2 linked regions of the Medicago truncatula genome follow. The protein of the gene in region 2 interacts with the protein of the main gene of each other region in a biochemical or structural test. Links are inferred from orthologs where the notes say so. Each region holds a gene or a part of one and is shown on either strand. Other genes may lie near its edges. The genes, in order: peroxisomal membrane protein PEX14 and peroxisome biogenesis protein 5.

What was found.
Region 1: the proteins of peroxisome biogenesis protein 5 (region 2) and peroxisomal membrane protein PEX14 form a complex in vitro, tested with the Arabidopsis thaliana proteins (2 studies listed by BioGRID, with this or other methods). The link is inferred for Medicago truncatula from reciprocal best matches to the Arabidopsis thaliana genes PEX5 and PEX14.

What each region holds. Positions count from the first base shown.
Region 1 is NC_053045.1:51,886,128-51,901,857, forward strand, and holds peroxisomal membrane protein PEX14, read right to left. Parts: upstream 8,832-15,730; 5' UTR 8,670-8,831; coding exon 8,591-8,669; intron 6,702-8,590; coding exon 6,457-6,701; intron 6,363-6,456; coding exon 6,323-6,362; intron 6,185-6,322; coding exon 5,991-6,184; intron 5,822-5,990; coding exon 5,632-5,821; intron 5,485-5,631; coding exon 5,395-5,484; intron 4,931-5,394; coding exon 4,893-4,930; intron 4,761-4,892; coding exon 4,718-4,760; intron 4,637-4,717; coding exon 4,569-4,636; intron 2,893-4,568; coding exon 2,848-2,892; intron 2,608-2,847; coding exon 2,539-2,607; intron 2,173-2,538; coding exon 1,702-2,172; 3' UTR 1,445-1,701; downstream 1-1,444. Other genes in the region: protein KINESIN LIGHT CHAIN-RELATED 3, read right to left, coding at 12,039-12,222, 12,515-14,349. UniProt on the Arabidopsis thaliana protein: Component of the PEX13-PEX14 docking complex, a translocon channel that specifically mediates the import of peroxisomal cargo proteins bound to PEX5 receptor.
Region 2 is NC_053044.1:1,902,245-1,917,970, forward strand, and holds the start of peroxisome biogenesis protein 5, read right to left. Parts: upstream 8,413-15,726; coding exon 8,290-8,412; intron 8,190-8,289; coding exon 8,067-8,189; intron 7,336-8,066; coding exon 7,188-7,335; intron 6,863-7,187; coding exon 6,669-6,862; intron 6,500-6,668; coding exon 6,248-6,499; intron 5,340-6,247; coding exon 5,223-5,339; intron 4,337-5,222; coding exon 4,169-4,336; intron 3,671-4,168; coding exon 3,471-3,670; intron 2,836-3,470; coding exon 2,589-2,835; intron 1,994-2,588; coding exon 1,909-1,993; intron 1,536-1,908; coding exon 1,426-1,535; intron 1-1,425. UniProt on the Arabidopsis thaliana protein: Receptor that mediates peroxisomal import of proteins containing a C-terminal PTS1-type tripeptide peroxisomal targeting signal (SKL-type).

The sequences.
Region 1 (15,730 bases), on a different chromosome or scaffold from region 2:
AGTTGATCCAAAACGTTACTCACATTAGAATCAGTTAGCCATTCCACGACATGATATTGAGTTTAATAAAACAAAAAAAATTAAAAAAATGTTTTAAAACTGATTTTCTAAATAAGTTAAGTTCGATCACCTATATTATCATCCCGAATCATTAAACATTAAGTGATTGAAGGGACTAACTTATTCTAACGTGAATAATATTTTGGACCAACTTGAAATTTTGAAAACGTAAAGGACTAGCTTAAAACTTCTAAAACATAAGAGATCAAACATGCAATTAAGTCTTTCTCAATATGACCGCATGTTGCAGTGCTAGGGAAGATAGATATAATTTACTCTCAAAGAAAAAGATATAATTTGTGGTTTAATGGTCTATATGGGTACTTTTGTGTTTCTAAATTAAAAAGAGACAATCGTGAAACACAATGCCCCCTAAGAAAAACATGAAACACAATGTGACCATCTACGTATACCACCACGAAACATGAAACAGAACATGAAAAACAGTTCACCTATCAAAATTGCGGATAGTGTAAAATTTGAAAGATTAAATATATTTTTAGTCCCTATAAAATCACGAGTTTTTAAGTTTAGTTCATATAAAATGTAAATAGAGATGAAAAGTGAATAACTTTTTTGTAGAGACTATACTTAAAAATTTATAATTTTAAGGGATTAAAAACATATTTAACCCAAATTTAAAAGATAGAAAGATATGTAGTTAACTTGTTTCATAAACCCATGAAACTCATATAAGTCATGTCACTTTACGTAGGATTTATTTCTAAAATGTGAAAGTCACATTAATTTCATTTGATAAAAATGAACGGTATAGAAAGTGTTCCTAACATATAACTCAGACTTTGAATCTCCACTTCATGGATTTAACAAAATTCACAAAAAATAATCTAGAAGCGATTCATTTTATAGTTCAAACCTTATTTATGGAAAAATTACACAATTTGTCCCTTAACTTAAATTTAGATAACACTTTCATCGTTTATTTTTTTTGTCCCAATTTAATCCTTTATGTTATAAAATGTCCAAAAAATAATCAAAACTCAAAAAAATTCATCAAACTCAAAGAGACCTAAATCTTCATAATACTTGCCTAGAAAATCAGATTTCATTGAAAAAAGCTAAAATATAAGATATTGTCATTTTATAACATAAAGACTAAATCAGAACAAAAAAGATAAAAGACGAAAATGTTATTCAAAATTAAGTTAAGAGACGAATCGTATAATTTTGCCCTTTTTTATCTTAGTTAAGTTTAATACATTATCCTTGATGCCACATTATAAAATATCTTAGTTAATTTTGCACTTGATGCATACACCAGTTAGTTGGCATTTCAGTCACCTAATTGTTGATTTTGATGTGCGTAATATTCTAAAGATTTTTAAATATTTTGACCCAAGAAAGTATTTTTTTTATAAATATGATAATATATGATAAAAATAATAATCGCATTCCATAAGGGTATTTTGCAGCTGCTAGCCGGTAACTATAAAAATATGACATACATCATAAAACCTATAATAGCGCATACTTCTGCTAGTACCATATTCTTTCATGAAAAAGACACCCACTTATGCATCTTGTATTGATATCCAGTTTATGAAACATACTGTGTCCAGTTTATCCAGAATTTGGGACTACTTCAAGCTCTATTTCCAACTTCATGTTTCACCTTAATTTCTATTCATATGTTGTTTCATGGTCTTCTTGTAAGACTTGTATCTCACCAGAGCCGACATTGCTTCCCTCTACAGCACCTTCAGATTCCGACGGTTTTGGGATCTCATGCTCCCCATTAGAGATGTCTGAAGATTGAACTACTGACTGGTTATCTGACGCCTGTTCCTTTTGGACAGCCTGTTTTGGGCGCCTGATTGCTTCTGCAGCTCCCGCCATAGCTATCGGTGGAGGTTGAGGAGGAACCCACACACGTTGTAGGGGCTGCTGACTGGATGCAGAACCATTTGGTGCTCCATTATACTCAATTTCATCAATCTCTCTGATTCTGACATTTTTCTTCTGCCACCAGGGAGTTGGGTCATCCCCATTTGATTGAGTGGTATCTTGGACCTTGATATACGATTCTTCACCATTTGCTTGAGGCTGAAACACTTGGCTAGACGTGTTTTGAACCTGCCCAATCTCCCATGGCTGCCCAAGAGAAGTTGAGACACACAATCAGATTCATGTTTCTAATTAATGTTTCAATAGATGTGTTTGCCGATACTTGTTAGAATAGAACCAGAATTTTACAAGTTGTATAATTATACTTTTCACATTGATGGTCAGCAATCAGAACCAGAAATTTCTAGGAACCATTGCACGAGTTATATTAATAGAAAATCCTCAAAGATGAACCAAATCAAAGTTTAAAAAAAGAATCATTGCATGAGTTATATTAACAGAAAATCCTCAAAGATGAACTAAAACAAAATTTTAAAAAAGACGTATTTAACTTGGTTAAATAAAAAACTTCATAAAACTAAAGTAATTAGAAAAGGCAAATTTGTAATAAACCTTGGATCTAGGCAATATGCGAGGATCTGACGGCTGTTGACTAGGGTTGGGGGGTAAATCATTGATCTCCTGCATTAAAACACAGAGTATTACAAAAGTAACAAGCCACATAAAATTGGTAAACCTATTAGAGAAGAGCAATTTTAGTTTTAAACCATAATCTTTTACCTCACAGTGACACCTTTCCTAACATATCAAACTTTAATTACTTTTTTTCCTAATCAATCTTATAATTTTATATCAATGCTGCACAAATCAGGTTTATGATTTTAACATGCAATTAAGTTTTATCCAGATTAAAAGGCTTACTCTGATATTAGAAGGCTTCTCCCCTCTTTGGACCATGGCCATTATCTGCAAAAGATAATTGTAAAAGTCAAACATAATATTACAAGCATTCCGGAAGATGAATAACACTGTCCTATCAAATACGAAGAAAATGTACATTCATTAATTACTGCAGAATTCATTATTAAATTAAAGATATACATACGTATTGGAGATTAGTTCCTCAACTCAGGAAGATATGTGTAATTACAGAATTCTCAGGAAAATTCAGAAAAATAAATAAATAAAAGATAAAAATTGGGGATCTGTGAATTGTGATGCCTAGAGAATTCAATTATTGCCTAACTCTTCTCACCCCCTATCTTCCCTTTAACAATTTAGTCCACACTTTCTAGGGGTGATACCACAATCACTCCCTCCTCAATTTCATAACACCAGCTACAAAGTCCTAACTGTTAAAAACTTCACATTGGTTTTTTCATCTGCAATGAAGGTAGTGACAGTCCCTCTACAACCTTCAACTTTATCCCTTCTTTAAAACACATGCAACCAACCAGTCTTTACATTCATCCCGTTTGAATGCATGCCATCTTTCTCCCTCCTAGAAAAAAACTTGGATCAGGGACATATCAGCTTGCTGCTTAATGGGCAAAGCAATATAATGCCTTCTATAATTCAGACCACAGGGGAGAATGGATTCAACTATTCGGAAAAATTTATTATATTCCCACCAGAATTAATGCTCAGTCCATGTCAAGAATAATATTTGTATATGATATATGAATAGATATTGTGGCGTTGTTTGATCAATATAATCAACTCTACCTAGCAGATCAAGGCTTTGATTGATGTTTTCACCGTACTACTAGAATCAGTGTATAAATGGCAATATTAGATCCCTTATACCAAAGCAGAGATTGGGAAAGCTGGCTGATGGTTTATAGAAAACAAAGGAAATACTAATTTTGAGGCTTCACTCAACTTGTGTTGCAGGGAGAAGCAGACCCTTAGATAGTTTGATTGCAATCCAAACAAGAATAGCTAATCTTAATCATGGTTATAAATATGATGTCTTTGAAAAGGATTTGGTTGATAGTTTCGAGAAATTAAATTAGAGACAGAAAAGAAAATGTACAACTCGAAGAAAAATGAAATATCCAAGAAAACAAAAATAAATAACAATAAAATCAGAAGAAAAGGTTCAGTACCATGAATTGAAGGGAGCATTCTCATGAAGGATCAAACCAGTGTATTTATTAATTAAAAGAGACAATAAGGAGAATGGCATTTGAAGCAAATACTCTTAAATACTTCAATCAGCTAACAGGTGAGTTAATTGGACATTAATTATGCAACCGATACTCAAGATTGTAATAACCATTAACCAGCACCAACAAACAAACAAACAAACAAAAAATATCACAATAGATTTAAATCACTGTTTCATTTCATCCAGTTAAAAATTTCCAATTTAGCCCACCCTGACTTGGGTATTTTCAGAAGCAAAACTAAGAAATACAACATAAATAACAGAAAGTTATAATCCATAGTCGTATCCCAAAGCAATTAATGTCTAAATGTTATATTTTGATTATTATAATAGAAGTGATCTACAAGACATGAAGACAATGCTGAAATGGCAAACATTTAGATATGAATCAGAAGTAAAAGGCAAGGCAAAGCAAGGCAACTAGGTGAAAAACAATTAACTACACATGCAAATATGCAATATAAAATACTACCTCCATATATGACTTCGGATGAGGAGGACCTGATGGTTCAACAGGTGCAGGTGGGGATAATGATCTCACTGCATACAACATTCTAATGATCGGTAACATAATTCAGAATAAGACTAATTTAGTTAAGATCTAATAATCAATATTACAACCTGAACGCAAGTCATAGTCCGCCTTGCCATTCGCAACCAGTTGCTGCATGTATTTAAAATAAAATATGCCGGCAAAAGTTAAACAATAGACAACTCAAATCAGGATCAGAAAAGGTGTGCAAAATTTTTCATAAAAGAGAACGAGACAGTCCCCAGAGTTCTATTTATATCTGACCTTCAAACTTGTTTGACTGACTCGGAGATCTTCTTGCCCTGAGACAGATATCATAAGAAGGTACATTTTGTTCCATAATTTGGTAGAAACAGATATTCAACAATAACTTCAAAATTCTAAATAACTGGTAAACAATTCCAGCATATATACACAATAATTTGTGACATGATGCCACCAAAATTTATCAGGAAGCCTAAAACAGTTTTATGAAATCAAATTCAAGGGAATAAATGGCTTTCCTGATACAGTCATAAAGCCAGAAATCGATTTACAATATTAAAAACATAGATAAAACTTGTCAAAGCTCTTGGTCAGCATGAACCACCATGTTGTACTCTTAAGGGGTTATACATAACAAGTTCCCCAATTACACAGCCACATGCTTTATTAACAAATACACGAGCTCTATTGGCAAGTCATAAATGAAAACCAAAATAAAATATTCAAAGCATTGGAAACTTTTCAGGTCAGCCCAATATATTAAATGGTAATGCCCCATTACCTTCCAATCTTCTTATTGCATTTGTCATTAACTTCATTTCTTGTACTTGCTTATCTAAAAGACCCACAACTTCCACAAAGTATTTCCTTTCTGCAAAGCATAAATCAGATGTTGCAATGACAATGAGCCAATAATTACAGTAATTTCTCAGAATAAAAGATGCTCAGCAAGAGTAGAGGTATCAAAACAAAACGAAGACATTTTATACAATGCAAATTAAAGTTCCATAAAACCCACCTTCACCCTTTGAAGCCAACATTTCTTGGCTTGCTTTTGCCACATCTGCAGCTGCGGCTGCTGCTGATTTAGCAGCTTGAGCGGCTTCTTCAACCAAAGTTGGTTTGTTGTCAGTTTTCTTTGATTGTTCATCATCTTCGTCTAAGACAACCTTGCGTATCCATGATTTTAACCGAGGAAGAAGTGATTTCTAAAACATGAAGTATGCTTAAAGTTCAGAAGGATAAAAAAAAATGTGATAAAACTTGTACATTTAACAAGATATCAAGTACAAGAAAGGAAGAAAAAAAATGAAAATAGCACTCAGCCATTAAGATACTGATTTAGACGGCATCATGCATAACAGTTGGTGGTAATACCTTAATTATTAAAACTGTTCCAGCACCTGAAGCAGTCAGGAATCCAACTAGCATAAGGGCATGGGACCAGTGAAATCTGGTTCGTGATAAGGCTCCAGATGAAGTATTAACACCAGTAGAAGCAGGTAAAACTGGCTGCAAAGTTTGCTGTTGGGCTTGTTGCTGAACGTTTGATGGTGACTTCAATTGACCATCTGTTAGCATTATAATAGCCATGTTCAAAATGTAACTGAAGCAAGAACACATCTAGTTTATTCGAAACTAATCCAATATATATTTCACGAGCAATCTGACTCAACCCGAAGGAAAAGTACAACATTTAAATGTTTCACCTTGAGTTACACCAGATGTCTGCACAGTTGGAGCTGAATCCTGTGATATTTAATCAAGGTAAGGATTAAAAAGATGAACATACGGGAAACTGACTGAAAGATAATTAGTTTACAATAAAAAAGCACTGGCTTACAGGCACACGCCGAAAGGCTTCATCAATCTCCTCCTTCGTAAGACCCTTCTTCTCCAAAAATGACCGCCTGTACATGACGGGCGAACCTTTAACTTTTGGGTGTGATAGAAATTTCACAGCATTCTGAACTTGTTCTTCCCGCAATGGTTCTGAGTTCACAAAGACTGATGTAGATGAAATGGGTTTAACAGACTCATCTCCGGCATTTTGCTGATCCATGTTTGACGGTTGGATAATATCAGCACCTAAATCTCAAAAAAGAGAGTCAGCAAATCAATGTTATTATAACCAAAACAATATATCTGGCAACTTATCTGTAACATTCTGCTAGCAAATTCTATCAATCCATGAAGGGAAAATTCAACAACGGTACAGTAAAATGATGACAGCAACATAATCTTTGGTATAAGAAAAATAAGGAATCTGTTGAGAAATATAATTTATCATTACATGTCTGTTGCTTCATTTAGTCATTACCAGCAGTTCACCCTAGTAAATGGTATTAGTCTTGTCATGCTATTGATTAAGTATATAACTAACAATAAAGTTGTCGAGGTTTGGCATTAAAATTAATCATCAGAGTATCATTTGAAATACATTTTCTCATTTCTCTTGATGGTCTTGTGGTTTTCTCTTTTCCATGTAATCCTTGTATTTGTATAGGTTAAAAAAGTCTTAGAAAGTGGCAATCAAAATCCTCCATAAAAGATTGTACAATATAAATAAAGTTGTAGCTTCCTTGTTTTCCTTGGATTAGAATAACATGGAAGTATATTTAAATTCCTCAGACACCTATACTTTGTCCCATTGCAAGTTTTGTTATGATCGGTCTAAATAAACGAATCCACCTTAGGTTTCGTAAAGGGCCTGTGAGAATAATGTATGTGTAAATATCATTACCATATTAACCCATTTATCAGCCAAACTCCAAAATAATAAACATAATTACTAGCCTAAATTTGCTGTTATCAGTGGGGCTTGTCGTTTACAGATAAATTCCAATGAATTATTTTCTAGATAACTCAAAATGAATTAGAGTCTATTTGCAAAAACTAACTAAATTACATAAAGTCAGAATATAAAATATCATGAATAAATAACCTATAACTTTAAATAAAGGGTCATGCTAACAATTGCCCTGTTAAGGATTCAAAACTAGAAATGATTCATGAATTTTATGTTGAAAAAGTTACTTTTTGTTCTTTCAATGTGTTGAATGCACAATTTCCAAGGTAAAGTTCCCATTTTAAACTTCTTAACTAGCATTTCCCTTAAATAAATGGGGCTATAGGAGATCAATTTAAAGGAGGCACATTGAAATTATCCAATTGAAACGATATAAAGAATAGCGGACATGAACATATCCAATTGAAATGAAGATCAATGTTGTTGACTAAGCTAAAGAAATCAAGACAGCATCAAAATTATGCAAGTTGTAGAAAAATTACCAAAAACAGATTAGAAGTCACATAAATATCACAACCACAATATTCTACATTTCCCAAAAACTGATTACTAGATTACCAAGTCATATGATCCTTCCAAACTAAAAGTTAGGGACAGACTCCAAGAGAAAGTATGCTTTCCCTAATATTCTGTTTGGAAATTGAAACCATAAATTGCCGAGACGCTTCTTCAAAATAATAAATTGTCGAGACCAAAAATTGAAATGTTTGGAAAGTCAAAATTAAAATTTTCTTTAATGATCCCAAACCACAGTTTAAGGGAAACTTCAAGAATCGGAGAAACCGAGAAACCGAGAAACAATATGAGATTGCCATGGTGTTGATGGTCAATCACCAGACACCTGAGGTGTTAACTCAGTGGTAAGAACTTAGCCGTATAAGCTCAGATACTTAGTTCAAACTTCAAATCCCTCGGAGACGGTATTAGTGTCAATTTGATTAATAAAAATCTCCCTCTTCCCCAATTAAACAAAAAGTGCAGCACTGAGATAAATCGATAATCATGTACAAGAATTTCGTATTAAAAAAAAGAAAGAAAAAAGCAAAAAAGTGTTATTGAAAGTGAAAAGTAGAATCGATAAGATACTAGTGGTGCAATTACGGATTCTAGTGCGATCGATGATAATAAGAGAGGTGAAATGAATAAAAAAGGAGATAGAAATTGAAACCTTGATTTTCATCGGTGGCGGTGGGAGATGGAAGAGGTGGTGGTGGTGATGGTGATGGTGATGGTGATTGGGTTGCCATGAATGAAGCTACTCAATCCTTCCTTAGCGGTTGGGATGACAGTGAAGCGAGTGAGTGGATTTTGTTGAATTGAATAAAACAAAGAGAAAGAGAGTTTGGGTTTTATTTGCACTCCTCCAAGTATATCAGTTTGTTCGAAACATGCCAAACTATTATGTTTCTCTCATCTCTTTTATGATCTATCTATTCCATTCCACATCTTTTTTTGTGTTTTTGTGTGTGTGTGTGTGTTTTTTATTTATTTTTTATTTTTTTATTTTTATGTCTAGTCAACTTTAACTAGTTATTTTATTATTCATTTTTTCCTTGATTTTCTTTTTAAATACCCAAGCTTCTTCATTAAAATATTTCAAAAATCTTTTATGTGGGAATCACCATCATCATCATAACCATGTCTTCAATGAGGCAGCCACCCCACCTTTGAGGATGCCGACAGAAACACACTTACTAGCCCCATAACCAAGAAAGAAGTGACAGCCGCCCTTCACTCCATGAAATCCTACAAAGCCTCTGGTCCGGATGGGTTTCAATGTATCTTCTTTAAATAGTATTGGCACATTGTTGGAGATGACGTCTTCAACCTTGTTCACCCGGCCTTCCACACCAGCCATTTTGACCCATCCATTGAGAAAATGCAAACTAGATTAGCCTCTAGGAAGAACAAGCTTCTCAACAAACCGGGTAGATTAGCCTTAGCTTCTTCTGTTTTATCATTTATCCCTTCGTATTACATGCAGATTAATTGGCTCCCCCAAAGCATCTGCGATAGCATTGATCAAACAACACGTAATTTCATATGGAGAGATTCTAACAACAAAGGCATTCATTTGGTTGGTTGGGATAAAATAGCTAAGCCAAAAATCATGGGAGGCTTGGGTATCCGCTCATCTAGAAGAATGAATATTTGTCTCCTTGGTAAATTGGTTTGGGACATGGTTCAGCACTCCACCAAGCTATGGGTCCAATTTCTTACACACAAATATTCAGCAGCCCCACACTTGCTCCTCGCCACTGATCATCCGAGTTGCTCCCCCACCTGGGCAGCCATTGTTCGTACAAAAAACTTGCTTTCCGCCGGCTATGCTTGGAGACATGGCAGCGGTGCCTCCTCCTTTTGGTTCACTAATTGGACCTCCACAGGTTACCTAGCCAACATCGTCCCTTATGTCGACATTCATGACCTCCACCTCACCGTCAAGGATGTCCTTACCTGTCCCGCACCTCACACCAACATTCTTTACACCTCTCTTCCAACTGAGATTGCTAACAACATCAACAATACGGATGTCACTTTCAACGATGTCATAGATGACACTTTTGTTTGGTTTCACAACAAAAATGGAGTTTATACTGCTAAAAGCGGCTACGATTGGCTCCTCTCCCACCCAGTTGCCGACACCAGTGCCAACCCTCATCAATCTTGGACCTGGATTTGGAATTTGCACCTCCTGGAAAAATATAAATTTCTTGTTTGGCTGGCTTGTCATGATGCCACTCCTACTCTATCTCTATTATCGCATAGAAACATTGCCCAATCAGCTATGTGTACCTGTTGCAACCAGCAGGATGAGTCCTTTCTTCATTGTATTCGTGACTGTCCTCACTCCTCCAGGATTTGGTGCCACTTTGGTTTCAATTCGGATGCTTTCTTTGCGGAAACAAGCACCCATGTTTAGTTAAAAAATGGCCTCACAGGTACTCAATCTTTTACCTTCACAGCATGGGTTTGGTGGGCTTGGCGTCACCGCAATTTAATGCGTCTCAACAATGAGGAGTGGTCTCTTAATCAACTTGCATTCAATATTCAGAACTCTATTGATGTTAACCGCATCCTTCCTGCATAACTCTCTTTCTCAGGCCACGGACACCGTGGTAAAATGGAATTGCGACATCCACTCTTATTATATTCTCAATGTTGACGGGAGTTGTCTTGGAAACCCTCAACATACCGGATTCGGTGGCCCCCTTAGGAACAGTGCGAGATTATTTATCTCTGGTTTTTCCGGGAACATTGCCAACGCGTCTGACATTCTTTTGGCCGAACTCCATGCCATCTTTCAAGGTCTGCGAATGGTTTCAGATATGGGAATATCTGATTTTGTGTGCTACTTCGACTCTCTCCACTCTGTTAGCCTTATCAATGTCCCTTTCATGTCTATGTCACTCTGTTAGCCGACATAAAGTACCTCGTTATTACCAGCAAGGCTTCTGTTTTTCACACTCTTCGTGAGGGAAATTACTGCGCAGATTTTCTTGCAAAGTTGGGAGCGGCTTCTGACTATGTGTTGACGATTCATGTCTCACCTCCTGATGGGATGATTCAACTGACTAAAGATGATGCTTGGGAACTCTCTTCCCTAGGGCTCTAGCCTCAGTTCTTTTTTTCTTTTTCGTTTTCTGTTTTCTTTGCTTTTCGTTTCTTTTACCCTTGTAACCAAAAAATTTCTCCATTAAAATTAAACATAATGTGATAACGTAAGTTTCAAACATTGATGTTTGTTAATATTTGATTGAATATCATAACATACTAATAAAATTTTAGATCTTATAAGTACAACTCAACTCCAATACATTAGATATGATGAGATGTAGATTCAAACTCGCAATTCAATTCTTAATATTAATATTAAGTGTGTGAATTTTGCCGTTAAACTTCTTCGAATAGAACTTAATATTAAGTGTGTAAATTTTATAGCTAAACTTCTTCGAATAGAAAAAAAAATCATTCAATCAATTTTTTTTTGTGGTGATCGGGGTTTGAACCACGAATCTTACATATACTATGCATTGTACCTACCAACTGAGCTAAATTTTCCGAGCACATCTTATATATTGATTATTATTTGTGGATGACAGTTGTTAAATTAAATATTATTAGTTGTTGTGTCTTTTCCTTTTTAAGTATCATGCCGTGTCATAATTTAATTTAATAAGACGTGAATGTTTTTTTATTTTTTTATTTTTTATTTTTACGTGAATGTTGAAGATTAGATATCTTGCTATGATGCTTCACTAACCATTTTTCATACATATCATTTTACATTCACGGAAGAGTTGCTTACAAAAATAGATGGAGATCATATGATTCTATAAGTTAGCAAATCAATCTTGTTAAATATTTAAAAAAAAAAAAAAAAACTGATCAAAACATATCAAAATCTTATTATAATTAATCTGAAAAAAGAAGAATCCGATTAATTACATTGTATCTACAAATAAGGTAGCATAATTTAGTACAAATAAATCATTAAGCTCGAATCATTGAATTTCAGCCCCATAAAACTACCACAATGACCAGTTCTTAATCAATTATGCTTATTACCTAGCTTTTCTAGAACTACATTAAAGCACATTCACAGTGTTTCATCATTAGTCCTCATTAACATCAAGAAGAATCTCAAGTGACTTGGTTTTTCTCTTCCGAACTCTGCCTGTTTCCTTCAACAACTCATCCAACCTTCTCTTCTCATCAACAACATCAAAGTGTGCTGTCCCAAGTTTTTCCTCCCTCACAACTACAATGTACTCTATAATATCAATTGCATCGTCCACCCTGAAATAGAATATCATAGTACATGAACAAAATAACTTTCACATAATCATTTCTTATTTGGTCATATCTAACCTAAAAGTCTCAAAAACCATGAAGCAAGAAACTACATACCATACCATATAGCGTGGGTTGGTTTATTCAAATAATAGACATTATACTAATTTTCAACATTAGTGGTCCTACTTGATTATTAGATCTAGTCAAATATATATACAACATCACAAATAGCTACAGCTTGCTTTGGATAATGCCTCAATATCATGAAGACAGTCACAAACTATAAAATGTATACCTGCCAATTGCATCATATGTGCCAGCAAGATTGCTATATACGCCAAGAGTTTCAGGGTGACAAGGACCATACTCTTGTTCCAAAACAATCTTCGCTTCTTCGAATAATTTGACAGCCTCACTCAAGGCGTTAAGTTGCACACAACAAAGACCCATTTGATTAAGAACAAAACCAAAGAAAGCCGATTTTTTCTCTCCTGTGGCGCGAAGCTTTGAGACGGCATTCTTGAAAGCATTGTAAGATTCAGTCTGGTTTCCCAACACATAGTATATGACCCCCATTTGAGCTTCAATTCCTGCAATTGTGTTCTGTTGGCCAGGGGCATCATTATGTATCTCTAATGCCTTGTGCAGTAACTCGAGTGCTTGTTCAAGCTCATTCATTGACTCATAAATAGCTGCAACATTCACAAAACCACTAGCAATCTCCTCAGAAGGGACACCAGGCATGGGATTTTCATAGATTTTAAGTGCATTTTCACAATATGATTTTGATTCCCTTACCTTCCATGTCCTATTATACAACTCAGCCAAACGTACTAAGACCGATCCAACCGAAGGATGATTCCCTCCTTTGTGAGTCTTGAAAACCGCTAACGCCTTTTTATATGCCAAGATGGCCTCATCGTATCGAGCCAATGATAGGAATGTGTCTCCAATGCTGCAATCAACAGACGCCACTTCCACTTCTTGGCCATTTGATACCATTGCCATGCTTGCTAAAACAAGGTGCTCCAATGCTGCTTCATGATTTCCATTAGTTTCACATATAAGACCTATCAATCTTCTATCCGCCACCTCTTCAAGAGAAGAGGGTGAACCATTTTCTCTATGAATATCAAGAGCAATTTGACACAGCCTCTCAGCCTCATCAAATTGCAATGCTTGAAAATTAGCTTCTGCTATGTATCTACAAGTTTCACCAACTCTTGGATCAGTTACTCCCAAAACCTTTCTTTGTACTTCCAACCCATTGTTGTAACACATAATTGAATTCTCAAGTTGGCCTAGCATAGCATAAGTGTCTCCAAGTTGCATGTGACTGGCGAATTTCGCAATAGCATGTTGCTTGCCTTCCTCAACGGCAGGAATTTCGATTGATCGCTCTAAAATTGGAATTGCCTCATTATAATGACCCAAACTGCAATATATTGCTGCAGTAACATGTAAACACATAACCAGATCCAAACTCGGTTTCCCATTCGCAGATTTCTCAAACAATTTCGTCGCTTGAAGTGATAACTCGAGAGCTTTCCTCGGGTTCTCTCCTAACGAAATCAAATCCCTTGCTTTCTTTAGTAAAAATGGTCCAAGCTCAGGATTATCAAATGTTGATTCCTTAGAATCGTCGACTCGACTTTGTGACCTTGATCTTCCAATAGAAGCAATCTTAGGTTTTACCGCACGATTAGTAACTGTTGTACTTTGTTTTCTCAAAGGATTGTTTCCATTCTTCCTTTCAACAGGAGGTTTTGCAGGAGGATTTTTTCCCTTAGCTCTTGATATTGATGGTGTTTCACTGCTAGAGTCCCTGACTACCTTTTTCACCATTTCCTCTTTCACTATCTCCAACTTCCTCATTTGTTCTCCACTAATATGGCTAAATTCTGAATCAGTTAAAGACCAATCACTATCAGATCCAAAGCTTTGACTTGAGCGTGTTCGACGCGAACGTCTTGCATCATGTACAATTTCATGAAACCTCTCAACACTTCTAGGTGTTTGTGGGCTCGATGGTATTCTTGGTGAATTGATTTTATTATAGATGTTCTTAGAGGGTGAAGGGTTCTCAAGTTCATTCATTTTATTTCCTTCAATTGGAACAACACTTGGCATCTTTGATTTCCTAGGAATCAAAGAACCTACAAAAATAAATCATGGTTAAGAATCTACAAAACAAAACCCCCCAAAATCATTTAGGAATAATAAAAAAACACATGTTATAAGACAAATGCATGCAAGGGTTTAAATCATTGAATTAAGTTAGAATTGCATGTTACAATAACTTTTTTTGACAATGAACAATATGAACAAGTTGTTCATGATTAATTAAAAAACACATGCATAACCAATGATTTAACAAAAATAAATAGACGAAAGATAAGAAAATCATTAAATATATGTTCCAAATTGCCATTTTCTGATATTGGGATTGGATGCATGAATAGAAGACAATGGATTGAAAGAAAATAAATATATGAGAAGAAATACCTTAACAACAATGAGCACCAAACCAAGAGAGAAATATGAAGCGGAGATAAAAACCAGAAGGAAATGTAAAACAAGAAGAAGGATTGAAATCAAAACATATTAAAGAAAAGTTATATAAAAATAAAAGGATTTTTGGTTTTGCAGAGTTGGAATGGAACTTCTTCACAAACCAACTAACTGCGCGCAACCTGCAACGGTCTGTGATCCTCTGCTTTGTCATTTTCCCCCTTCCTCTAACTCCCAATGCCACATGGCATTCCCATATTTCAATTTATTTATTAAATAAATATAAACCCTTCTTTTTTGGTTACATGAGAGAGAAGAAAAAAAAAAGAACTAAAACTAAGTCTTAAAAAAGGACACTGTCCGCTAGAAGCGTCCAAGACAAACTAGGAAAAATTCATTAACAATAAATCAAAGAGTCCACATAGTTAGCTCCCAACTATGCAAGAATATCCACACAAGCATTCCTTTCACGAAGAGTATTTTTCAAAACAAAATCCAATCATTTTTTATGTAATCTTTGATAGTCTCCACCATATTAACATTATTGTGATATCGATATGTTCTACCAACTTGACCATATGAAGGGATTCAGAATAACAAATAAGTTTTTTAAAACCCGCTTGCCAACACAACTCAATGCCAATTAAGAGGACTTGAATCTCTGCATGTAACACGTTCGAGATACTTTTCAGAAGGTTGCCTATCCCAAAATTGCTCAAAGTCAAGCACGTTTAATTGTGGATTTCTTATGAAATAACTACCAAAAAGAAGATGCATCTTGTTGGTATATGTAGTACCAAACAATTCTTGTAAGCTTTCCTTCGACCAAATAGTCTCATACCTGCACGGCTTCAGGAACCCTCTCATTTCAAAGTGGATTCGGTTTGCCTAAAAGGAGCCGCTCATTTGCCATGTCTTGTGCACCGACGATCAGTATCACTCTCCGACTTCGTCCTCATCAACGTCGACGTTACAGTTACGGTTGTTTGTTTTAAGGTTT
Region 2 (15,726 bases):
AACTATAAGATATATTTGAATGACTATTGTTATATAAGTGTTTCAGGATGTTTGTCAGATAAAACTAGGCTTCAAAAAGAAGTTAGAATCGGGGATGAGATAGAAGGTATAGTGTTGAAGCTAAACATCGTTACATAATTGTTTCAGTATGTTTATCCGATAAAACTTGGCTTCAAATAAAAGAAGGATGAGATAGGGAGGTCTAGCATTGAAGGTAAGCTTTATGTCATTGCTCAAATTTTGTATGGCCTTCCAAACAAGTCACCGGTGAGATTATGAAGCACGGATACAGATACGGACACGGACACGCTGACACGCCGTGCTTCATATAATAAAACTGCCATCCATATTTATTTAATCCAGTAATAAACATAATGGACAGTCATTTTTCAGAAAGGAAAACAAATCAAGGCTCTTATTTCCATTTTATATTTTCAATAAAGCCAACAACTTAAAAGATGCATTTACAAAGGCGCCGCTCGGAGGAGGGTTGATTGTACATATGAATGACAAAAAAATGCATCCCAACTTGATTGAAACGTTAAAATAATGGACTGGGATTGGGAGAATATATGTTAATACACTATTGCGTTGTTTGGGACTCCTGTGAGAATGCATCTTCCATTGTGTGGGTCCCACTCCCACTTTTCTGGTTTTCTTTAATCTGTTTGAGCTTTTTCAGGATATTTGTACCTTGTTTTAGTTCAAGGTTTACCCCAACTAGGGTGCTTTAAGGTGTCCACAGTTTATTCTTTGCATCAACTGCCACTTCACCATTTTAGTATGGATCAAATTTGTGACACCTTCTAGTAAGGGGTTCAGCTGCTGTAAGCATTATCGTTCATGAAAGCCAGCAGTGATTTCATGGGTTGGAGCTTGGTGGTTTACTCTTGGGCACGACTTTATTGACTTATGATTTTGGTGTTTCTCCTTGGTTTATCCAAGATATGTTTTTGGATTTGGTTACCTCACTTGCCAGTTTTCTCTTTTTCAAAGGGTATATATGTAACAAGCTGGCTTTAAAAAAAAATGTAACAAGCTCAAAAACTAGTAAGCTGTAGCTTGAGAGTGAGTAAATAAGAAAATATCTTAAAATATCATGATATTATAAGATTAGTTCTATATTTCCTAGTTATTATCATGATTTGTTTTCTAATGTCCCTATTTATTTAGAATTAGGAGTTGTGTATCCCTATAAATAGAGGTTAGTGTTTAATCTTTTGTAACATGTTATTAACAATAAAATTACACTATTAGCATATTCAATCAAAGTCTTCATTATTTATCTTCTTCTTTTATCTAAAACTCAATTTCAAATTACAACAAAGTCGTATCTCACTAGGTGGGGTCAGCTATATGGACATATCTAAATCATAATGTACTTTTAGCAGACATGATATTCAGGAAGCATTCAATTCCACTTACATCAGCATAGTACAAAGAATCAGACATCTCAGGTGGGGCAATCGTTCCATATTTTGGGTGATTTCGTAGCCATCCAAATAGATACTTCAAAGCAGCATTTTGCTCCAGTTCTGCAAAAACCAACACATATGTTCAATAATTTTTATTTAGGAATCCAATGTTAAACCTACAAGTCATTTGCATCAATGCTTACAATAATAAATTCACTAAAATAGAAGACAACAACAAAATGGACTATTAGAATCCTAAGCATGAATAATAGGAAGTTAAGTAAATATAAATATTTTAGTTTCTCAAAAGATCTCTCCAAAGTCCAAGCCCTACAATTTCTATTGAATAAAAACTTAAAAAATTAGAAGAATTGAACACAAAATCAATTCAAGCGTCAAAGCATGGTATGACAAAGCAGCCTTTGAATTTACATTAATTTTCTATTGTACAAGATATCATTTATTGAGATATCAGAAGCAGTCAGTCACTGACCATTTGTATGACTGACACCAAGAGCAAGAAGCACCTCCAAGTTTGTTGGATCAGCCTCTTGTGCACGCATCATCGCTGCAATCGCCTGTGTAGGTTTGAAAAGTTTTTACAAAAGCTATAAGTTACTGCATAAAGAAGCATGTAAAATACAAAGTGATAGATCAATCGTAGTATAACTAAGAAGAATGTGGTTGACTAAACTGTATAATTAACAATAAACATTCCTGTAAAAAAGGGCGAGGTAGAGAAAGAAAGCAAAATGATTTACTACAAAAACAACAAAGAATTAACAATATGATGCTATACAGTATACTCTATGGAAATACCCATTTAATATTATTTTTGTAAATATGAAATGGTCAACAAATATAAACTAACTGAAACCATTTTATGTCAAATTTATAAAATTCACAGGATGAAATGATTACCGCATACGTTGAAAAATTACATCATACTATATAAAGAAGCAAAATAGAATAGCATATTTAGTTGGACAGAAACACTGTTCTGCTATAGGCAGTTGAAACATAAATACAAATAAATTGATAAAAAATTGGTAATTCTGTAGAAAATCTGTACAGCGCCATGTTAATGTATTATTTGTAGTGGTTAGTAAAAAACAAATGTTATAACAGTCTACACAAATAGGAGAGTTTATCAACAAGAAAGCATAACCTAACCTGTTGATCATCGTCATTTTCTGCATGTGCTATTCCGAGTAGTCTCCATCCTTCGGAATTTTCAGGGTTTTTCAAGACTTCGGCTTCTAGTGCTAGAACTGCTTCACTTAAAAGCCCTTTCCTGAACAGATCTTGGCCTTCTTTTAGTGGATTTGGATGACCAACATAAGGATTTAAATCTGAAAACACATACACACCCCTTGAACTATCTGACCGCTGCTTGGCAGCAACTTGCTCATTCAAGAACCTTCACATAACCCCAAAAGAGATTCTGATTAATTCAAGGGAATAACCTCCATGCTGGCATTAAACACTTTCAAGTTTAAGGGGAACGTAAGTGGGCACAACCCAAATATGTAGTGTTACAATATAGTAGCAATATCTTATATTTTTTTATGAATTACTTCTATTATTATAATACATTACGTGATATAGGTTATAGGTTAATTAATTACAAATGGAATATACATCCGATCAATGCAAGGTGTCTATCATAGTGATTTACATTGATAATCAATGAATGTTGAGTTTCTGCAAGTAATTTCACCTTTCGAAAAGGAGAAACTGGTATCTTTGAACTAAAAATAACTAGGAAAAAGGGAATCAAGAATGATAAGAAATATCTATCTTCAAGGGGAAAGGTAGAAATCAGACTAAAACATTTAATTAATATAGAATTCTAAATAGATCAGCCTAAAACAGATTTCCAATCTCTTCGCAACTTCCAATTCTATTCATGGAAGTCCGCATAATGGTGTAGTCCAGGGTTATTCAATAATTACTTGAAAGAAAAGTTGTTTTTCTTTGATAAATGCAGTAAATAAATCTTTATGTAAGGGTGAAAAAATATTGAAATTCAATTAATGAAAAAGTTTGACTTACTCATCATATGCCTGAGCCCAATTATCCGAAGAGCCTTCCCCAAAGGCTCCTTCACCAATCTGCTGACCGAATTCCTCAGCCCAGTCATTAACATGCAACTTCGAGAATTCATCAACCCACTGGTCATCAGCTGCTCCATTTTGTTGTCTTTCTGTTGCAAATTCATTCGCCCACAGTTCAGGTCCCGCTCTAGGATAAGCCTTCAATCCACAAATCAGTGTCCAAAATTAGAGAAAAAGGACTTGTCAATTAGTTAATCCTACTGTTGCACCAAGACTCAACTCTCAACTTTAATGAAGTACTGAATTCAAAAGATAACACAATAACTTGTTCACAATGATGTAGGCACGCACAAGTAATAACAATGGTAAGTCTATAATGTTTAACATCCCGAAGAAAAAAAGAGAAATAATATTCTTGGAAATCAAAGTGATAGAACCCATACTAACACCTGTTTCCCATATAGATAGGACTCCTCAAGAACTCAACACAAAACTTGGATAACATTTTTGAAGATAAGGTGGGGTAAAAGCATTTATATTTTAAAGGAAATGCCTCTTCCTATTTTTGTCTCATACACATTCAGCAAACAAGAAAAACATCCTGATAAATATTAGTATTTTTTAACTGAATATAAGCCGATCAATACTCGATAAAAAGCTTGCAAATGAATGTTGTTTCCTGCTTATTGGACATGCCTTATTATTTAAGAATTCACCAGCCCATGCATCACCATGATTATACTGCTGCTGGTATTCTGTTGCCCAATCTCCAGGTGCGGGTAATGCAGACTCTTTAACTTGATTGTCATCGATAATCAACTCACCACGGCTCATCTTTGATACAAATTGAAGGAACTTCGAGTTCTGCATACCAAAAGAACATGTTATTGAAATTTTGTATTTCAGGTTTCATAAAAGAGGAAAGAAAAGCCACAAGAGGATAAGATGTTTTGTATGGCAAGGACACAATAATAAAGCACAATAAAAATAGGCTCATCAACATAAAGGTTGTTATTCCCTCCATGATATTTATACATCAACAAAAAACCCCGAAAAACAACAACATAAACAGTAAACAAGCATAGAGATTTTTCCTCACTCTTGTAATCTCCCTTTTCATCGCCATAAATTTTGTAATAACTCAGCTGTTTTATTAGGGAAAAAACAACATACTCCTAAACCAGCCAAAGCACAAAAAATAAAAAATAAGAAAAAGAATGATGCAAAATATCAAGTCAAGACATCTCCTGGCAGACACCTTTAGCTTTTACACTCAAGGAGGCCAAGAATACCGTTCTCTATCAAAAGAATTTGAGACGACTAAGATACTGTCACAAAACTCGAGCATTACACTCCAGAACAAAACAGTAAATAGCAGCATATTACTGGAATAAACTTCCCTGGTGCGATAAATGAGGGATAATTGATGTTTGTTGACAAGTTACTCTTGTTGTGCTAACCTAAGCTAGATGATTGAATCTTATAAACGAGAGATTGTTGATTCAGGTAAATGAACATAATAGTCATGTGCCTTAAAATTGCCAGCTTTATCATACAATAAGGAAAATTTGACAAATTCAATATCTATCAACAATATTCAATTATTCACAATGAAAAGAGAAAATTAATTTAACAAGAAGGTAAAGAAAAATATTACTGAACTTTCTATCTTTAATGTCATAAATAATAAAGTACTGGATTGCAATATGTTGTGAAGTATAAATTGAACAGTCAAGAGCAATGGATGAACCTGAAATTTAGGGTCAGCATTCTGGGCCAATGTATTTGCAAGCATACGAGTCTGCTCCATAGCAGCAATGTTGGACATGTTCATACCTCGCATTTGATCTACTGATGACAATTGAGACTGAAAGATGTAACCAAGAAGAAGAAAAAAAATCAACAATATAATATAAAGTGGAATAAAAATAATGTAGGTGTAACATTGAGAAATCAATGAATAGAAAATATTTAAAAATGCCAATATAAAACTAGCCTACAGATACCAGCATCAAGACCGATGAAAAAAGAAGGCATTGCATCGAAGACATATTATGTGGACACACACGCATGGCTGCCCGCATAAACACCATTTTTTTTTTCTTTCTGTTACCGGCTATATTTTACTTCGATCCCACCCATTTTCAACATTCTGATTGAAATTATAATAATCTCAAACAGAAAAGAAATTAAACTACAACTCTGCTAGATATATTCTGGAGCTGTTCATCACACAGCTCTTTCTTTTGATGTGTATGCTGGGAGGGCACAAGAGATGGACGCGAACATCAAGACCAAGGAAGAAATAATATGAAGAATTATTTTGGAAGAAAGCTATTGCTGAAGAAAGGGAAATAATTGATTGTGAAACTGAAACTAAAAGGAATAGCCATACAGTGGTGGAAGCAACATTTTAGGCTAGGAAACCCTAAAATTTAAAATTGCTAATAAATGGAGACCATACAAAGGAAGCAATTTCAACCGAATAAATATAAGATGTACTTATTCAGAAGATTTAATAGACTGACTAGAAATAGGTATTACATGACTAACGTTATTTCGAATTTAGAGTTTGTGCAGATTTCACCGCGAAATACAAGAGTAACTCTACAATGTTTGCTTTCTTAGTCAGTTCAACATAACAAGTTTCCTCAACAAAGATAAAGGGTTTGAATTGCATGTTATTGATAGATTCAATATTATGCTTGAGTGCAGATATATGTGACCGAGAGAATTAAAATTATAGCTACAAATAGAACAGTGAAGACTTCTCACATGTTCAAATTCAGAAGCCCAACCATTTGCACCATGCTGTTGCTCAAATGAGTTGGCCCATGCATCGGGATTATCATATCTTTCCCTATTTTGACTGAATTCGGTAATCCATCCGTCTGAAGCATGAGCACCCTGTATCAGGTTTCCTTGAGACTCGTTCCAATAATCTTCAAGCTCCCTATGTCTTTCAGGCATAGGGCCCTTGCCACGGACATTGCTGTCAATATCTAGAGAGGACAGAAGAGCATTTACCTAAAAAGTAATACATGTGATAAGTCTAGAGATACATAATCAATACTCACTTTTGCCCTCAAAGAAAAGTTCAGTCTTCAGAGCATTATGTGTGTATGCAGATAATTAATTTAATAATCGGAAAAAAAGTAAGCGGAAACTAGATGAAGGTATCCGTGAATTTCCTTACTTGAGCATGGATAAATTCTTCACTTTTATCTGCAAAGAGATGCCTAGCCATTATGCTGCTACGGTCACGTATACATTGTTTATCGCCTTCAGATAAACCCAATACTGGAAGAGGGGCAGGATGAAAAGGTATTCCACCGCGACTGCTGTCAAGAAATGAGTGCAAAAAGGTAGATAGAACTCTTTGCGGTGTCCCTGACATATTGGAAAGAAAACAACATCAATTTGTGTCTCTTTTTTTATGTTAACCATCTCAAAGCATCAAATAATATGCCCATCAACTGTAAGAGCTTATTTAAGCTTATATTACAACATAGGCATTTCATTATAATATATAAGCTCCTCAAAATAGCTTATAGAAATAACATATACAGTTTCTCCTCAATCCCAGTTGAACAAAAAGAACAACTTATGCAACCTCACTTTTGGGATAAAAAGCACTTAATGGACTTCTTTACTCAAACACATCCTTAAAACACAAAACAAGACAATCCAAAGAGGAAATGAACTTTGAAATTACCATCCAGTGTGGGTTGATGAAGCTGTGGTGGTAGCTGTCCCCTACCATCATAGAGCCGGAGTTGATTTCCATCACCTTGTATCTCATCCCACGTTTCATCAAACCCACCCGCACCCGCAGACCTAAACCTATTCAAAAACTCTGAACCCTACACCATCCAAAATTCATATTGAAATTCAAATAACTAAACAAACCAAATTCATCCAGTCAATATAGATACAAGTCAACCAACACACACATAAACATAAGCATAAAGCCTGATTTTGAAATCCAAACCATACACTATTCCAAATTCATACTACGTACACTACTCTTAAAATTCAAAACATTGTAATCCAATTTGCGTTTTTGACAATAGGAAACATATCAATAGTTACTAAAGTGAGTTTAGTAAAAGTATTGTGTATTCGTACACCTTCATTGCATTTCTTAATTTGTGTAAAAATCTTAAACAACGCTCATTTCAAAACAGAGGGAGTGTAAGTAAACCAATACATACACAAAAAGATAAACATTTAAGCAGAAGGAATAATTCCAAACCCTGCACCGCTACAAAAATGAATAAATTTAAAATAAATAAACCAACCAAATTAATTCATACATTCGATTTGAGCTGTGTTATTGGAACATCAAAATACAAACACTATAAATGTTTATCTCTAGCTCTCATACTTTTTTATCTTCTACAACTAACACACATTTCAAAAATACTCGTAAGAGCCAAAGGATGACATACTTGATATAAAAAATTAATTTTTGCATTTAAATTAGATACAAGTCCATGAAAACATAAATATAAACATAAGCATAATTTCAAATAGTTTTACACCGTGATCGAATAAATACACATCATAATTAATTAATTGTTTTAATCCTGACCTGAGAATTAGCATCGAGAAAAGGTTTATCGAATTCGGAACCAGGTAGCTGGGTATGAGGTTGAGAGTAAAATTGCGATGCAGAAGGAGTGGATGTTGATGTAGGAATTTCCTTCAACCTCTCCTATAATAATATAATTAAATTAAACAATTCAGTTAGTTATGAATTGAATAGAATTGAATTGAATTGAATTGAATTGAATTGAATATGAAAGAGAGAGTACCTGATTTTTTGAGGAAGAACCGAGGAGAGCATTAGCAAGAGAACCGAGAGGGTTTTGAGAGGAAGAAGAAGCAGAAGGGTCAGGACAAGAAGTAGCACCTGTGATAAGATCACGCATCGCCATAGTATATATTCAACTAACTAACTTTATATTTTATATTTATATTATTATGATTATTCGAATCAAAATAGAAGAATTGAAATGGATTGATGAATGATAGTTTTGATTCTCTATCACTCGTCAAAGCCCTTTTTTTGCAGCAGCTGGGTGCTGCTACTACGTCTTGTCTCTCACCGTCCGTGTGTTTGTGTGTGTTTTTTATTTTGGTATTTGTTATCTCTCTATCTATCTATCTAACCTCTTTGCTGTCTGTGCGCTATAATAATGCTTGTCTCTCATCTTTTTTTCCTTTTCTTTTTTCTCACAATTTTATATAAACAATATTTTTTTTTTGGCAGAATACCAAAAGAAAAAATGAAAAAAAAAAAAACCAAGAACAAGACTCTATGGGACATCAAGCCTCAACTCTTGTGGGACAACGTGCCAAAAAGTCACATCTAATCTTGAGGAGCGCCTGAGCTTGGTAAAAAGAATTGCGCAGTGGTTGCCCTCTCGAATCATGTTAAAAAAATGTTAGAAATATGCTCGTTTAACCCAAAAATATTCATCCACAAAGAGACGTATACATGTATATGAGAGTGATTTGGATCGTAAAGAAGACAGAGAACTTCTAAAGAATCTGTTACGCAAATAATATGTTGAATAGAGTTGTTGAATACCAACAACAAACCCCAGTAAACAATCAAATAATAATACCAAACTATGCTTGAACCAAAAAAAAATAAAAAATAAAAAATATGAAAGATAATGAAGACATTACATTATACATTCTTCCCTCGATAAAAAAAAAGTCATTACATTATACATATAAAAGTTAAAGTTCAAATTTCCTAACCCTTTCGTTCATTTCTGTGAGTTTATAATAGCAATTTTTATTTTGTTTGTCTAGCAAAATATTAAATTAGTTAGAGTTCAAATCCTCAACCATTGTCAAGTGCAACCCCCTCCTTTGTTACTTAATTCTAATTTAAATCGTAGTCGTAAATAGGAATTTCACAATCCTTTTATAGACGAACTGATTATAAATCTTATTATTCTATGAACTCGCTGCCGAGCAACTTTCTATCGGATTTGTTCGTGACGCGCTATTGAACTTCCACTCTATGGTTGTAATTATTTTGAATTCTTGTGTTGTATGAGCTTGTTAAACCAGACACGCGGTTAGAACAAGTTCAAATCACGAGTCTCAAATATGTTAGACCAAGATTTGATGAAAACAAAGCATATGAGAATAATTAGATACATTATGTGTATTTAAATGTGTAGGAAGTTCTAAGAAAATGATGATTTTCCTATGGATTGTTCTAAACTCTAGACCTTGATGAAAAGTTATGTGTCATAGATAAAGACGAGACTTTTGTATCAAGTTAAAGGTCAAGTTATGTGGAATGCAGGTCAATGCTTTGTGGTCAAAGCCGCTTTATCAAGTGTTAGCTAAAGACATGTCACTGATACAACAACTCTTTGCTCTTAAAGGAAACTTAGTTCCTGACTTATGTAACTCAGGAAAAATCATTAAAGTGCATCAATGATTGAAATGAATGTTTGATTCACTAACTACTCTTAATGAGAATATCACAACAATTACTCAGTAAACTAAAGACAAAATCTCTTCAGCAATGGTTATCATCTCACGTCTTCCATGTAATGGATTTGATTTGGCTGAAGAAACGTTACACAACACCCATATACAATATTGTGAATCATTCTATATTATTATCATATACATTGTCTGGAAAATAAGAAAATAAATACAGAGATATACACTCTCAAGTGTACTAAGCTCAAATGTTTACTGTTGTTATAGTTTGTGCAAACACAAGTTTATTTGTAATCCTCTTGTTTGAAGTTAGGAAGTGTTAGGAAGTCCTTTAAGTTGAGACCATGAAATTTAAGACGAGCTTGCTATAACAGGTTTTTGTAATTTGTTGATTATAGTGAAAAATCTCTCAGAATGCGAGAGGGCATAAAGTAGCTATAGTTCAGAGAATGAACTGGGATAACTACATTTGTGATTCTCTCTTCCCTTACCAAACTTTCTTCAATAGTATGTAGACCTGGAACGTGGTGGTGGTTGCTTGGCTTGTATGGCTTCCACCACCAAACCCACTAATGGGGTTTTGGTCACCAACGCCATCACGAATTGTTTTGTTCCACAAGAGTTTCTCGCTCTCGCCGCTTTGGTGATGTCTTGTTGGGTCGCTGGTGGTGTTAGTGGGTTGTCGGATCGTCTTGAAGTCGTCATTCTATTTGGGTTTGTGTTCGTGGGTTGTATCGCAACTTGCCTACACTGATTCAGAAGGGTTGTGTTTCTATTGTTCGATCGCAGCTGTTTTGTTTCATCTCTTCATCACCTATTGTTTTATTTCGTTGTTTTTCAAGCTTTTTTGTCTATTTTTTATCAGAGATTGGGGTGGTTTCGATTCTGACTTGTGGTTGGTTTCGTAAACTCGAAAGGGTATGTTGGTTCTTTTAACCCGAAAGGGTATGGTTAGCGAAGAACGCGTTGACCCATTTCTTGGTTCAATACGTGTTTAAGGTGACTGGTTGTGTTTGGTTCCTGCTCTATTTGATTCTTTGATGCTTCAGATATGTTGAGATCTGCAGGTCTCAAGGTGTCAGATGTGCCTCCCCTCTGTTACTGGTTTGTTTAAGTCATGTCATACTGTTATGTTTGAAAGAGCTTCATACTTGCTGACAAGATCAGGGAGTTGGTACGTGGATCCGGATTTCGTGTTGGCGGCCGATCCATTCGCCACTTTGAACCCTAATTTCTCTGTGCATATGTCACTCTTTTCCTTTTTTTTTTTTTTTGTAAATTTGGTTTCGCGCTTGTACGCGGGTTCGCCAGATTGCGTTTGAAACAAATGTTTGTTTGTTATGATTGATTTGGGTAGATTTGATTTATAACAATGTATTTTGGTTTGGATTGTACCTGAGTCAGGTTTAATGTCCCCCCAATCTCTTTATACGCCTTTTTTTTTTTAATATATTTTTCCTTTTTGTCTAAAAAAAATGACTAAATACTTTTTCTTGAATTTTTTTACATTTCATGTGTGTACCTAAGAATATTGATTTGTGATTGTGCCCATGAAAGATTTTCTCATACTCACTTAGAAAGAGCAAAATCGATCAACACTTAACATAACTAAAAATTCAATACACTCGTTAAACATGTCACGATGAACAATGAATATAGAGAGGAAAATGATTTTGATGTTATATGGAAGAGCACAAAGGTAATCTCCGCGGCTACACTTTAAAAAAGTTTTTATTTTATTTGTTTGGTGCAGGACCATGTGTAACGCCCTCTTTGAATTATTTGTTTTATTCGATTATTTTTAATGAGTTTAGAATATATTTAAATGATTATGTGATTTATTAAGTGGCTTATTTTAGTATTTAATAGAATAAGATTTGAAAATAAAATAAATATTGAGATGTGGAGCTGTTTTGGAATTTAGAGGAGTTTAGTGAAAATAGAGGAAATAAGAAAAATAAAATGAGGAGAGATATAAGAAGAAAACTATGTTTAGAAACTTTTTTTACGTGAAATTGCTTTTTGGAGAAAACGGGAGAAAACAAGAGAAGAGGAGAACCAAGAGAGAGAGAAGCCGCCGATCATTCATTCTAAGGTAAGGGTGGGACTAACATTCAATAATCTTAAGTCATCGATTCTGGAAATTGGATTTAACATGTTGTAGGTTTTAGTTTTTGAGAATTTGGGAATTAGGGTTAAAAGTGGTTAATTGATGATTTTCTAAAATAATGTTTTTGGGTCAAGTTTTATATGGTTTTGAGTCTCTTTTGATGTATATAAATGTTTAGACAAACTTTGGGATCAAATTTGGGCATATGGAAGTCAAAATTGGGATTTTTGGGTGAAAAATTGGTTTTTCCCGAGAGCTGCACAGTGACAGCATCTTCTGTTCCATGTTCTCCGGTCTTTTTCACACGTTTCCATTTTGAACTGGGTTTTGGTGTAAAAATGAAAGTCGTAGATAATTTAGTTATCTTTCCAATGGCTTTGGTTTGGAGTAAAAATGATTTTTGGTTTAGGAGTTATGATGAAATTACTCCAAGGAGGTCTTAGTGAATTTTCACGAATTTCAGCACAACTTTGTCCGAGTTTGAAATGAAAACTGGTATTGATTGGTACATAATTAGTCTTAGGTGTAAACAAGAAAGTTGTAGGTATGTATGTTAGCTTTCTAATGCCGTTGGTCTGACGTCAAAATAATTTATAGAACTTGCGTTATAGTTAAATTACTGAACGTAGGTCACAGTGAATAATTGATTATGATTGATGAATTAGTATATGTATGTATATGTTTGTGAATACGATATTGTCCATGATTAATGAAGTGTTATATGTATATATGATGTTTTAAGATGTTGATTACCATTTGATGTTGTTTATATTGTGATATAATTATATATGCATTACTTGAATTATATGTGAATAATTGAGACGTTGTTGACTTGCATTTGATATTATTATGTCATGCTGTTTTTGTATACTGTTGTGTCGCTGTTGTTATTTAACTAAGCTGCATGAGTCGGTCCAAGTTGATTAAGATGATGAAGTCCAAATTATTGGATTATATAAGATTAAGAAGTCGAGTCCATGCATTAGCATTTCAGCGATAGGGGCTTGATGCTCCGGAAGTATAATAATACTCAAATAGCGATTGGGGCTTGATGCTCCGGAAGTATAATAATACTCAAATAGCGATTGGGGCTTGATGCTCTGGAAGTATAATAATACTCAAATAGCGATAGGGGCTTGATGCTCCGTATTGGTACCACATGCATATAAGAGGTCTAAGTTGCATAATCGAGTTGGAGTCACATTTGTCGAGTCAAGGATGTTTAAGTTGATAAGTTGTGAAGTTGTAATTGTTTATACAAACTATGATTGAAGTGCTAAATGATATAGTACTATCTATAATGAATATTAAGATGATTTGATGTTGATTAAATATAATTGTTGAATTATATGCTTAATATTATTGTTTTGTGAAATCTCACCCCTTCTGCTTGGAAATGTTGCTCTTCGTATGAGTAACTTGCAGGTGATCGAGTTTCAGTTGCTGTTGTGAGTGGATTAGCTCTCATGTGTGTCTTTAGGTGCTCTGATACGTAACGGGATGGGAACTTTGTTATTACTTTTATATTCCTTACGTATTGTTTTTGAAGATTCATGACTATGTTTTTAGATTGGATTTTTATGAGACATTTATAAAGAGACCTTAGTGGCAAAGATTGTTTTTAGTTATTGAAGAAATTCCGCTGCAAAGTATTTAAGATTTTGTTATTGAATTTTAAAGGATAAATAGTTATTTATTCAGTTTATGATTTTAAGAAAAGAATGTGATATCCCGTTTATGTTGTTTACTCTGATAAATGTTTAGAAATTTTCATATTGGGAAAACGGGGTGTTACAATTGGTATCAGAGCAGGTCGGTCCGTCCAGCCAAGTAGTTGAGTAGAGTTGTGTCGATTAACATTGGTATTAATGTCTTTATGCTGTTTGATTGGTTGTTGTTGTGTTTCTAATTGATAGATATGTTTATTATGTGATCATGTTTGATTGACTAACTTTAATGTGGTTTATATGTTTTGTTTGAAGTTTCTATTTGGCTATATATAGTTTAAGATATTTAGGCAATGATTGAATTCTTTTCTTGTGTGTTTTGAATTTCGAGGACGAAATTCTTTTAAGGGGGGTAGAGTTGTAACGCCCTCTTTGAATTATTTGTTTTATTCGATTATTTTTAATGAGTTTAGAATATATTTAAATGATTATGTGATTTATTAAGTGGCTTATTTTAGTATTTAATAGAATAAGATTTGAAAATAAAATAAATATTGAGATGTGGAGCTGTTTTGGAATTTAGAGGAGTTTAGTGAAAATAGAGGAAATAAGAAAAATAAAATGAGGAGAGATATAAGAAGAAAACTATGTTTAGAAACTTTTTTTACGTGAAATTGCTTTTTGGAGAAAACGGGAGAAAACAAGAGAAGAGGAGAACCAAGAGAGAGAGAAGCCGCCGATCATTCATTCTAAGGTAAGGGTGGGACTAACATTCAATAATCTTAAGTCATCGATTCTGGAAATTGGATTTAACATGTTGTAGGTTTTAGTTTTTGAGAATTTGGGAATTAGGGTTAAAAGTGGTTAATTGATGATTTTCTAAAATAATGTTTTTGGGTCAAGTTTCATATGGTTTTGAGTCTCTTTTGATGTATATAAATGTTTAGACAAACTTTGGGATCAAATTTGGGCATATGGAAGTCAAAATTGGGATTTTTGGGTGAAAAATTGGTTTTTCCCGAGAGCTGCACAGTGACAGCATCTTCTGTTCCATGTTCTCCGGTCTTTTTCACACGTTTCCGTTTTGAACTGGGTTTTGGTGTAAAAATGAAAGTCGTAGATAATTTAGTTATCTTTCCAATGGCTTTGGTTTGGAGTAAAAATGATTTTTGGTTTAGGAGTTATGATGAAATTACTCCAAGGAGGTCTTAGTGAATTTTCACGAATTTCAGCACAACTTTGTCCGAGTTTGAAATGAAAACTGGTATTGATTGGTGCATAATTAGTCTTAGGTGTAAACAAGAAAGTTGTAGGTATGTATGTTAGCTTTCTAATGCCGTTGGTCTGACGTCAAAATAATTTATAGAACTTGCGTTATAGTTAAATTACTGAACGTAGGTCACAGTGAATAATTGATTATGATTGATGAATTAGTATATGTATGTATATGTTTGTGAATACGATATTGTCCATGATTAATGAAGTGTTATATGTATATATGATGTTTTAAGATGTTGATTACCATTTGATGTTGTTTATATTGTGATATAATTATATATGCATTACTTGAATTATATGTGAATAATTGAGACGTTGTTGACTTGCATTTGATATTATTATGTCATGCTGTTTTTGTATACTGTTGTGTCGCTGTTGTTATTTAACTAAGCTGCATGAGTCGGTCCAAGTTGATTAAGATGATGAAGTCCAAATTATTGGATTATATAAGATTAAGAAGTCGAGTCCATGCATTAGCATTTCAGCGATAGGGGCTTGATGCTCCGGAAGTATAATAATACTCAAATAGCGATTGGGGCTTGATGCTCCGGAAGTATAATAATACTCAAATAGCGATTGGGGCTTGATGCTCTGGAAGTATAATAATACTCAAATAGCGATAGGGGCTTGATGCTCCGTATTGGTACCACATGCATATAAGAGGTCTAAGTTGCATAATCGAGTTGGAGTCACATTTGTCGAGTCAAGGATGTTTAAGTTGA